Nothobranchius furzeri: one gene and its partners. The protein of the gene in region 2 interacts with the protein of the main gene of each other region in a pairwise test. Links are inferred from orthologs where the notes say so. Each region holds a gene or a part of one and is shown on either strand. Other genes may lie near its edges.

The links.
Region 1: the proteins of cep19 (region 2) and cep43 interact in binary tests that used the Homo sapiens proteins (3 or more experiments, as listed by UniProt). The two-hybrid records come from large-scale screens. The link is inferred for Nothobranchius furzeri from reciprocal best matches to the Homo sapiens genes CEP19 and CEP43.
Region 3: the proteins of cep19 (region 2) and calcoco1a interact in binary tests that used the Homo sapiens proteins (3 or more experiments, as listed by UniProt). The two-hybrid records come from large-scale screens. The link is inferred for Nothobranchius furzeri from reciprocal best matches to the Homo sapiens genes CEP19 and CALCOCO1.

The regions. Positions count from the first base shown.
Region 1 is NC_091742.1:15,825,259-15,828,589, reverse strand, and holds the end of cep43 (centrosomal protein 43), read left to right. Parts: coding exon 1-64; intron 65-1,145; coding exon 1,146-1,261; intron 1,262-1,384; coding exon 1,385-1,450; intron 1,451-1,747; coding exon 1,748-1,781; intron 1,782-2,178; coding exon 2,179-2,266; intron 2,267-2,353; coding exon 2,354-2,434; 3' UTR 2,435-2,725; downstream 2,726-3,331. UniProt on the Homo sapiens protein: Required for anchoring microtubules to the centrosomes. Required for ciliation.
Region 2 is NC_091748.1:41,170,351-41,172,740, reverse strand, and holds the end of cep19 (centrosomal protein of 19 kDa), read left to right. Parts: exon of another isoform or gene 1-1,208; coding exon 1,209-1,555; 3' UTR 1,556-1,841; downstream 1,842-2,390. UniProt on the Homo sapiens protein: Required for ciliation. Recruits the RABL2B GTPase to the ciliary base to initiate ciliation.
Region 3 is NC_091755.1:25,996,307-25,999,964, forward strand, and holds part of calcoco1a (calcium-binding and coiled-coil domain-containing protein 1), read left to right. Parts: intron 1-179; coding exon 180-382; intron 383-542; coding exon 543-755; intron 756-852; coding exon 853-1,001; intron 1,002-1,068; coding exon 1,069-1,138; intron 1,139-1,213; coding exon 1,214-1,369; intron 1,370-1,459; coding exon 1,460-1,714; intron 1,715-1,865; coding exon 1,866-1,991; intron 1,992-2,132; coding exon 2,133-2,228; intron 2,229-3,074; coding exon 3,075-3,162; intron 3,163-3,345; coding exon 3,346-3,590; intron 3,591-3,658. UniProt on the Homo sapiens protein: Functions as a coactivator for aryl hydrocarbon and nuclear receptors (NR). Recruited to promoters through its contact with the N-terminal basic helix-loop-helix-Per-Arnt-Sim (PAS) domain of transcription factors or coactivators, such as NCOA2.

The DNA of each region.
Region 1 (3,331 bases), on a different chromosome or scaffold from region 2:
TCCTTGCTGGGGACCCAGAGTTGGAGCGAGACAATCCTGTCTCAGATCACAGCTCAGAGCTCAGGTGAGCTGCAGGTGTACCCGTCTGTCCTCCTGAACATCATCTGATATTTATTATCATCCTCCACCCAGATGCAATGTGTGTGTGTGTGTATTTGCATGCATGCATGTGTGTGTGTGTATTTGCATGCATGCGTGTGTGTGTGTGGGGGGGGGTGTATTTGCATGCATGCGTGTGTGTATTTGCATGCATGCATATGTGTGTGTATTTGCATGAGTGTGTGTGTGTGTGTGTGTGTGTGTGTGTGTGTGTGTGTGTGTGTGTGTGTGTGTGTGTATTTGCATGCGTGCATGAACGTGTGTGTATTTGCATGCATGCGTGTGTGTGTATATTTTTATGTGTGTGTGTATTTGCATGCATGCATGTGTGTGTGTCTATTTGCATGCATGCATGCGTGTGTGTATTTGCATGCATGCGTGTGTGTGTGTATTTGTATGCATGCACGTGTGTGAATTTGCATGTGTGTGTGTGTGTATTTGCATGAGTGTGTGTGTATTTGCATGCATGTGTTTGTGTATTTGCATGCATATATGCGTGTGTGTATTTGCATGCATGCATGCGTGCGTGTGTGTGTTTGCATGCATGCACGTGTGTGTATTTGCATGTGTGTGTATTTGCATGCATGCGTGTGTGTGTGTGTAATTGCATGCATGCAAGTGTGTGTATTTGCATGCGTGCATGCAAGTGTGTGTATTTGCATGCATGCGTGTGTGTGTGTGAGTGTGTGTCTGTGTGTGTGTTTGCATGCATGCATGCGTGTGTGTGTGTGTGTGTGTGTGTCTGTGTCTGTGTGTGTGTGTCTGTGTCTGTGTGTGTGTTTGCATGCATGCATGCATGTGTGTGTGTGTGTGTATTTTAGATCCTAAAGGCCGTCTGGTCTTAATATAACAGGTTTCAAACCCACTTCCTCTAAAAACGGACAGAAATTAGGATTATAACATAATCCATGAGGAAAGTCATCTAGATGAAGGTTCCAGCAGCAGCTTCGTGTTCTGGATTGGGTCCTCAGATGTTTCTCCTCTGATGGAAGTTTTTAGTAGAAATGAACGTCTGATTGGGTCAGAACCACCGGTTCTCCTCACAGGAAGGTGGAAACGCCCGGGGTCAGGGGGAGTCCAGTCGGGTCTCAGTCCGAGGGCTGCAGACTAGCGGGAGGAGGAGGAGGGAGCAGTGGATCGGAGCCGAGCCGCAGCAGAAACGGTTTGTTTCTTCTCTGTTACCATGGATACTGATTATGTCTCTAAATAATCGGAGTTGTTTTCCTCCTACATCTGAGTTTTAATCTGTGATCAAACCATAAAATAATCTGTTTCTGTTCTGCAGGGGCATCAAACTCCAGAGAGAAAGGCTTCCGTGGGCTGAGCGACCGAACTGGGTCTCTGCATCTAGGTGGGAATCAGGTTGTTTGGAATCAGAAACGTCCTCTGGACCTATTCAATTTCAATTCAGCTCAGTTTATTTCTAAAGCGCCAAACCACGACCAGAGTCGTCTCAGGGACCTTCACACAGTAAACGATCCAACACAGGTCAGGTCATTAACCCAGCAGGTTGCATCGAGTCACTGACTAGTGTCAGAGTATTTACAGCAATCCTTATACTAAGCAAACATGCAGCGACAGTGGAGAGGAAATGGAGTCTTTGTGTTCCTGTTTGTGAAACTTAAACTCAGGTTTCCTGTTTCCACAGATGATGACGTTGAATATGACGATGATTTCAACAGGTGAGATTTCCAGGTGACCTGCTGCTGCGTGTGCTGGTCGGTTAATCCTCACAGATTTGATTTCCTTAGCTTTTTATTTCATTTATTCATGCAAGATTTTCTCGTTCAGCTCTAAACCGCCAGTTTTATTCAAAATAATTAGAAATGAGTTTTTCCTGTCCAAATGGACTCTAAATACCGGGTGAGATCAAATCGGAATCATCGGAATTACTGTGAATATTTGGTACATTATTTCTGGAAACTTCCATATTTGGGTCCAAATTAGTTTACAGGTCTTATAAAAGCTCTAAAGGTTTTGATTTATAAGCATCAGAGTTATAACAATCTAAAGAGGTGGTTTTACTGAGCTCTGAACCAGCCGATCGGCTTGAATTAGAACTAAGTTTGTGTGTTCCAGCCACCGGTCGGACCTCTCCAACGGAGAGCTGAGCATCGGCGAGGAGATTGAGGAAGTTTCCATCGAAGGTCCTGAAAACAGCGACAAGGTGACGAAAAACTCCTGAGCAGCAGATCTGAGTTCAGTTTAAACTGCTGGTTTCAACCCGCTGTTGTTTGTTTGTGTGTCGATGCAGTTTGATGAGTCCACCCAGGACCTGAGCGTCTCTCAGCTCAGCCAGAGCAACGTCGCCGATTATATGGAGGACGTGTCCTGAATCTCCCATCATGCACCTCTTCCTGTACAGATTTATAGAAACGACTAACGAGCTTTGTGCTGCTGAGAGTGATGATGATGATGATGAAAGATTTGTTTCTATTTATCTGGAACTTTCTGAGGAAACACGAGTCGTCGTAACAACAGGAAGTAACTTTTCAGTCTAAAAGGAGAAGAAGAAATTTTCTTCATCACATTTGAATGGGTTCAGCTCTGTGATGCTGTACGGAAAGCAGTTTTACTCCATATTAAACTAAGATGTGAATAATGAAAATAAATTAACTGAATCAAGTCTTTTTTATTGTAGTATCAACTAAATGATCACATGTAGCTTATCAAAGTAAAAGTCTTTTAACATCATTTAAACAATAAAACAAGTTACCTTTCCACCTCATCCCCCCAGAGCAAACAGGAACACCCTCCTCGAGTAATAAAGACCATTCAGCCTCATGCATTCATCGGGTCAAAGTTAAACAACCCTCCTGATGCGGAACAAACATCTGGACATTTCTCATTAAAACGCTGGAAACATCTGGATTTATCCAATAGATCCAAACATTTTACAATAAAACAAAAGCAGCTGTTTTAGCAAACGATCTTAAAATATGTCGCACCTCACAGAGGAACTAGACATGGATGCCCACTTTCACCCGCACCACTAACACTTTAACACCTAAAATGAGTTTATATGCTGATGATGTACTCCTGTTCCTCCAAAACCCAAACAAATGCGGTGAACTCTCCACAATCTCGAATTATACCATAAACTGGAATAAATAAACCTCTAACAGTAAATGGAGACACAGCAGATTACATCCTACTACTAACACGGTCACATACTTAGGAGTGGAACTCTAAAGTCACATTTCGACAGTCGCAGTTCGACTCCCCTACTGGA
Region 2 (2,390 bases):
TTCTCATCACCATTCGAAAAGTACTGCACCGAATTGAAAAATTCAAAAAGTGTGAGTGGCAGAAAGCTTTGATGGTCATCTGTGTGAATTTTTATGTGCCTACCATGAATTGTCTAGAAGCTATGACGAGAACATTTTAGCTGTCTGAAGCCGATCAGAGGAGAAAATCTCTGTTCCTTTAACATGGGTTTCAATGAGGGAAAAGCTGGGTCTCTCCTCTTTCTGAGGCTTGTAGCGAAAGAACGGTAACACTTACAGATAAAATGAAACCCATTCTGAAAAGCTGACAAAAATCCTACTTTTTGAGTTATAATTTGTTTTGGTAGTCCAAACGGTCTGGGGGTAGTAAAGAGTTGTTCACAGAAGATGTGAAGTTCAAAAGTTAGAGTGCAGAATTTTCAGTTTAGAGTGGGGAGAGACATTTTTTTAAATTTGAATTTTCTCAAACAAATGAACCGTACGACCACAATGTTTGGATTACAGTCATAAATTATAGCTCAAAACGAAGGTATATTCGTTAGCTGTAAGCCAGCGTGTGTCTGATTTCAATCGGACCTACGGTTCTCTCGGGACAACGCCAGAAATGGAGCAAGGAAGGGTCACCGCTCCTACCTTTCCCCATTATAACTTTTGTGAATTTTTCTGAAAATTTCAAATCATACCTCAACTTCTACCTGCGATTTTAGAAAAACCGTAAAATCCATCAACAAGTCTCTTTAATATGTTAAACAGGAAAGTCTTGTGAGTTTGTTAAACTTTGAATGAAGCCTCTAAGTTAAAAGGAACCCAATAGAGTTTTAGGTCAAAAAAGTGATAGGAATTTGCTGATTTTGCTGTAACACCTGCTGGAGCTTTGTAGGGTATGGCTGCTAACTCGATCATGTGATGAAAGTGTTTTCAAAATAAAATAATGCGTACTTTTTGTATATTTCAAAATAATATGCACTACAACTATCCGATCGATGACTTAAAACATCTATGAAGCCAGGACCTAAACATCAAAAGGGTTTTACATTCATGTGTCACAGACTCACCAACCTGATGATGAATTCTTTGGATCTAAATATCTACCAACAACTTGATACGTGACCAAAACACTGGAACACAGCATAACTAACCCTTTTACGTGTGCCTCAATTACAAGCTAAGAACACCTGGTCAATCGGTGAAGAAGTTTTTAACCTTGGTTCCATCATTTCTTCTTTCAGATTGCAGCCTAGCTGCTGAAAATCTGAAAAACCACCCAAGGCACAGGGACTATCTGGATCGAGTTTCCCAGAGCCAGCTGGAGAAACTCCACATTATCCTGCGAGATCACTTGCAGGGCTTCAGTCTGGAGCACAGCCTCGCCTCATTCCAGCTGAATGCAGATGAAGATCTGAACAAGCTGGATGATGAAATCTTAGCTCGCAAGAAGGGCCAAATGGACAAACTGTTTGAGATGAACAAGAAGCACAAAGACGATCCAGACTTTGTTTATGACCTTGAAGTTGACTTTGGCAAAAAATCTCAAGAAAAGTGCAGCTGGGATGAGGAGTCAGACGATGGATTTTAAAGCTCTTACGTGTCTGAGAATGCCATCAGAAACCCATTGCAAAGTAACATCAAATATGTGACACGTTGACAAGCGTTGTTTATCTGAACACAATTACAGAAGTTACCAGATTGTTTAGGAAACCTTTATTGTTGAATATGGGAAACAAGACATTGGAGCATAATTAAGAGGACGAATGACCCAACCACAACTAGCTTGTGACAAGCTCCATTTCAAACTACAGTTAACAAGGCATAACTAAGTTATAGTTCACTTTATTTGTTATAAAAGACAGAATTTTACAAAATACATAGACTTTGGTTTTATATTTGTGGCTTACACCTAAATGAGACACAGTCAAATATGAAGAAAGCTGCTAAAATCCTATTAAGGTAAATCTGAGTGTATCCCAATGATGAACAATACAACAAATATCTCTTTGGAAAATGTGTCTACAAAATACTGTAATATACAAAACATATATATATATATATAATATTTCCATAGATGGTTTGACGTACCAGTGTTTTCTTTATCACTATGGACCTCACAGGCCACCATCCGAAAATCGACCAAACTAAGGAAACCACTGGAAGTGCTACGAAAAAGTTTAACAGGAGATAACCACGATTAAAACTTAGCCTGGATTATCAAACATCTTAAAGGGGAAAATTTCAAAGTGCTTAAATATGATATTCTGTTGACAGGATACATTGACCACTAAGTACCACGATACATTCAAAAATGTCATAGGCTTTTGTTGAAATGTTCTCAATCAGTATACATTTGCTCGTTTGGTTTAAACTAATCAAAATATATTTTCGAAATAAACCCCACTATTAGTTGCAGTCATTGA
Region 3 (3,658 bases), on a different chromosome or scaffold from region 2:
AGATTGCAGCTTTTAAGGCATAATTCCTGCAGAATGTTTTAAATAGTTTCAAATACCAGACCATAATCGGCACCATTTCCACATTGTAGTGTCTTAGGTGGTAAAGGCCTAGCTGCAAACCTGACTCTCTGTATATTCTATTTTTAATTGTTTCAACCAAACTTTTATTTTGCTTTTAGCCTCGTACCTGCCCAAACCCAGCTCCCAAGAGTATGAGTTTGTATACATTGATGCTAAAGGGGACGTGTGCTCCCGCAGCTCCAAATTCACCTTCTGTGCACCAAAGCCGCTTGACGATCTGGTGACACTCGAGGAAGTGTCCCACGGTGAGGATGGAGGCATAGACATGCTGTTGGTAGTACCAAGAGCTGAACTGCTGCAGGTGAGCATTAACAATAAATAAGCTTGATGTGAAAATGGATCAGTATGTCTTCAGCTTTGCATAAGTAATGAGTGTTGAGAAGACACTCGTCCTGTTGAGTTGGCTCTGGTATCTCACGCAGCCAATTTAGTACAAGAATGTTTTCCCTGTTTCTGGACAGAGTCGACTGCAGGAGTGCCTGCAAGTGCGTGCTGAGCTGTTGCACGAGCAGGAGGTGTTAAAAAAGCAAAAGGAGATGGAGAGGGATGACTTTAAGAGGGCCAAGGAGGCTTGGGACAGACAGCGAAGAGGGTTGGAATGTGATCTCGCCCGGCTGAAGGAGGAATTGATGTGGAGTCGAGAAAAGATGGAGGAGCTGGAAAGGAAGCAGGAGGTGGCTTAAGACTTTTCCCTTCACTTTTGCAGTGAAAAGCGTTCCTCTACTAAGATATGTTACTTATATTCATAATAAAATATCTCTGGTGTGTTAGGACGGGCAGGCTTTGGCAGAGTCTCTAGCCCAGGAGAAAGCTGCTTTAATGAGTGCCAAGAAGGAAAATGAAGTGCGAATAAGAGAGCTGGAGGAGGACATCAAAACCCTGACTCAGAGGACTGTGGAGAAAGAAACAGAGCTGGAGAGGTTGGTTGGTTTCTTCTCTAGATTAATCTAAGTAGTTTGGTTGTTTTTGACAAGTAATTTTGTGCAGGATGAAGGAAAGAGCCAAAAGAGCTGTGGCCTTGAGGAAAGAAGAGGAGAATGAAAGGAAGAGCCTGCAGGTATTTTCTGAACAGCCACGTCTGCTGGACTCCTCTCTGCCCGTGTTTGATTTTTCTTCTTTGTCCATCTCAAAGTCCAAGCTGGAGCAGACAGAGGTGGAGCTCAAAAGTCTCTCTAAGGAGTTCCAGAGTCTCAGAAACTCCCTGGCACAGAGAGACACCAGCGTCCTGCAGCTCCAAAACTCCATCACCACCCTCACACAGAAACTCACCACCGCTCACAGGAAGGAGGTCAGACATATTCCAAACACGCTTGTACGGTTGGGGCTTCAAGTGAATGTGTAAAATGAATCATGTAACACACTCGTGCTTTGTCGACAGGCGGAGAACGAAGCGTCGCTGAAAGAGATGCGGAGCCTTCGGGAGCATCTTCACATGAGTGAGCGCACCGCGGTGGGCTTAAAGAGAGATCTGAGCACCATGGTGTCGCAGAGGGACCACGGGCATGCCGAGCTGCACCAGGCTCGTCTGCAGGCTGCCCAGCTCACTCTTCAACTCGCAGATGTAACTATGAACCTAAGAAAAGAAAGCACCCACTGGGAGCAGGAGAGAGAAAGTCTGCAGCGCACTGCAGAGGTACGGAATATTAAACCTGCAGAAATTAGGGACATGAGTCAAGTTGAGATATGACACACGGTTAAGCTACTTCCTTGCCTCAGGTAATAGGTGGACATGTGGCAGAGAAAGTGTTTCATAGTGTGTGTTTCTGTGTGTGTTGCACGGACAGAGGGACCATGATCGCTTAGAGAAGCTTAACACAGAGATGCAGAGGGTGGAGGAGAGGCTGCAGGAGGAAAGGATGGAGCGAGTGAAGCTGGAGGTTGAGCTTGGAAGAGAAAAAGATTGCAATCGAGTGAGAAAACGTGCACAAAATAAATAAACACAGACTTGATAGCAACAAGAAGGACATGATGTCACAAGCTCTAGTGGGATTGATGGGACGTGTTCACACCTCATTTGTCACTTTAAGATGTTTATGATTTCTGGGCTGCAGGTTCAACTGAGTGAAACCCGGAGGGAGCTCCAGGAGCTGAAGTCCTGCCTGAGGGTCGCACAGAAGGAGAAGGAGCAGCTGCAGGCAGAGAAACAGGTCAAAATCAGGTTTATGTCCCAAGTTCTCACAAAGACTCTGGGTGCAGAAGAGTTTGCACGTTATAAATAAAGGGCTGGCACTTACTGAACGAATGCACATCGACTTTCATGCCCGAGTTTTTAAACTGAGATCATCTTGTGTGGAGAAGCATTGAAGTGTGATGCTATGGTTGATCACCCATGTTTGCATATTATTGCAGACATGCATGCCTGCAGACATTTGTTCTATGAAGTATATTTATTTACAGTTTGGTACATTTGGTGTCACAGCTCAACCTTAAATTTCGACAATAGAATGATGTTTGCTGTTAACTTCATTTTTATTTTTTAAATCTTGGTTTTAGAGAAATCCTAATGCCAACCTGCAGGTTTACAAGTACGGTGAAAATACCAGGTGTTGTGGATCCTCTCTCTGTTGTTACACTCTTGTTATTGTGCTGTATAAATTGTTTATAGTGCAATATAAAATGGTGGGTTTTTCAGGGCAGCTGGCTCTGGGGCTGTTAATGTGCCTGCAGAGTTTGCTTCTAACTAATTTCACGTCTGCCAAAAAAATAAGGAAATCTGTTTTGTAAACTCAAGAGTCCTGCTGCATTTCAGCAGCAAGCACACATCACTATAGCACATCAAATAAATAAATAAGGATTCAGGTACGTAGTGTAGAGTGACAGCAGTATTTATGTAATAATAAAAGTTGTATTTTTGTGTTGATGGAGTAGCAGTTTTATGTGACTTTGGTTTGAAGCTGTCAGGTGTCATAAGGGTTGTAAGGGTGATGGCTGCTGAAGCCGTTATCGGAGTCCTGCCCCGGTTTGTGATGTGATCCTTGTAATCTGTCTTGCAGGAGTTGATGGAGTACATCTGTCAGCTGGAGCAGAAGGTGGGAACAGTGACCAGCGCCGGGTGGGACGCGGCTCCCGTCGCCTCCACAGGTGAGTTGAGCAGCACATCAATCTGTTGTACGCCCTGCAGATGTGAACAGTAAAAGTGTTATCACTCAGGAGCAGCACTAAATACTGCTCAGAGGGGCTCGTGTTGTGTGTGGAAACAAGAGGAAGAGTGACTCCCCCTTCCCTTCTTTTTCTTTGTCTTTCTCTGACCAATCTTTATGGCAGGATGTCCTGACGCTGCCTTATCTGACTCTGAGGATGAGAGTCCCGAGGCTTTGCAGCTCCTCCATTCCCCCAGAACTCTGGGACACTACAGCTTATGTGAGCAGGGTCAGCACGACTCCATGTTGTTGTCAACCCCCCCTTCCTCCCCCAGGGACGTGAACAGGAGCGCGGTCGTCATCAACCAGCCGGCCCCGCTCTCCCTGCCACACCAGACCGCCGACTCTCAGGCACACAGCTCGGATTCGGTGAGACGCCCTATCAGATCCGTTCATCGTGGCCATAGTTTAATTATATGTGATACTGAAAATGAGCT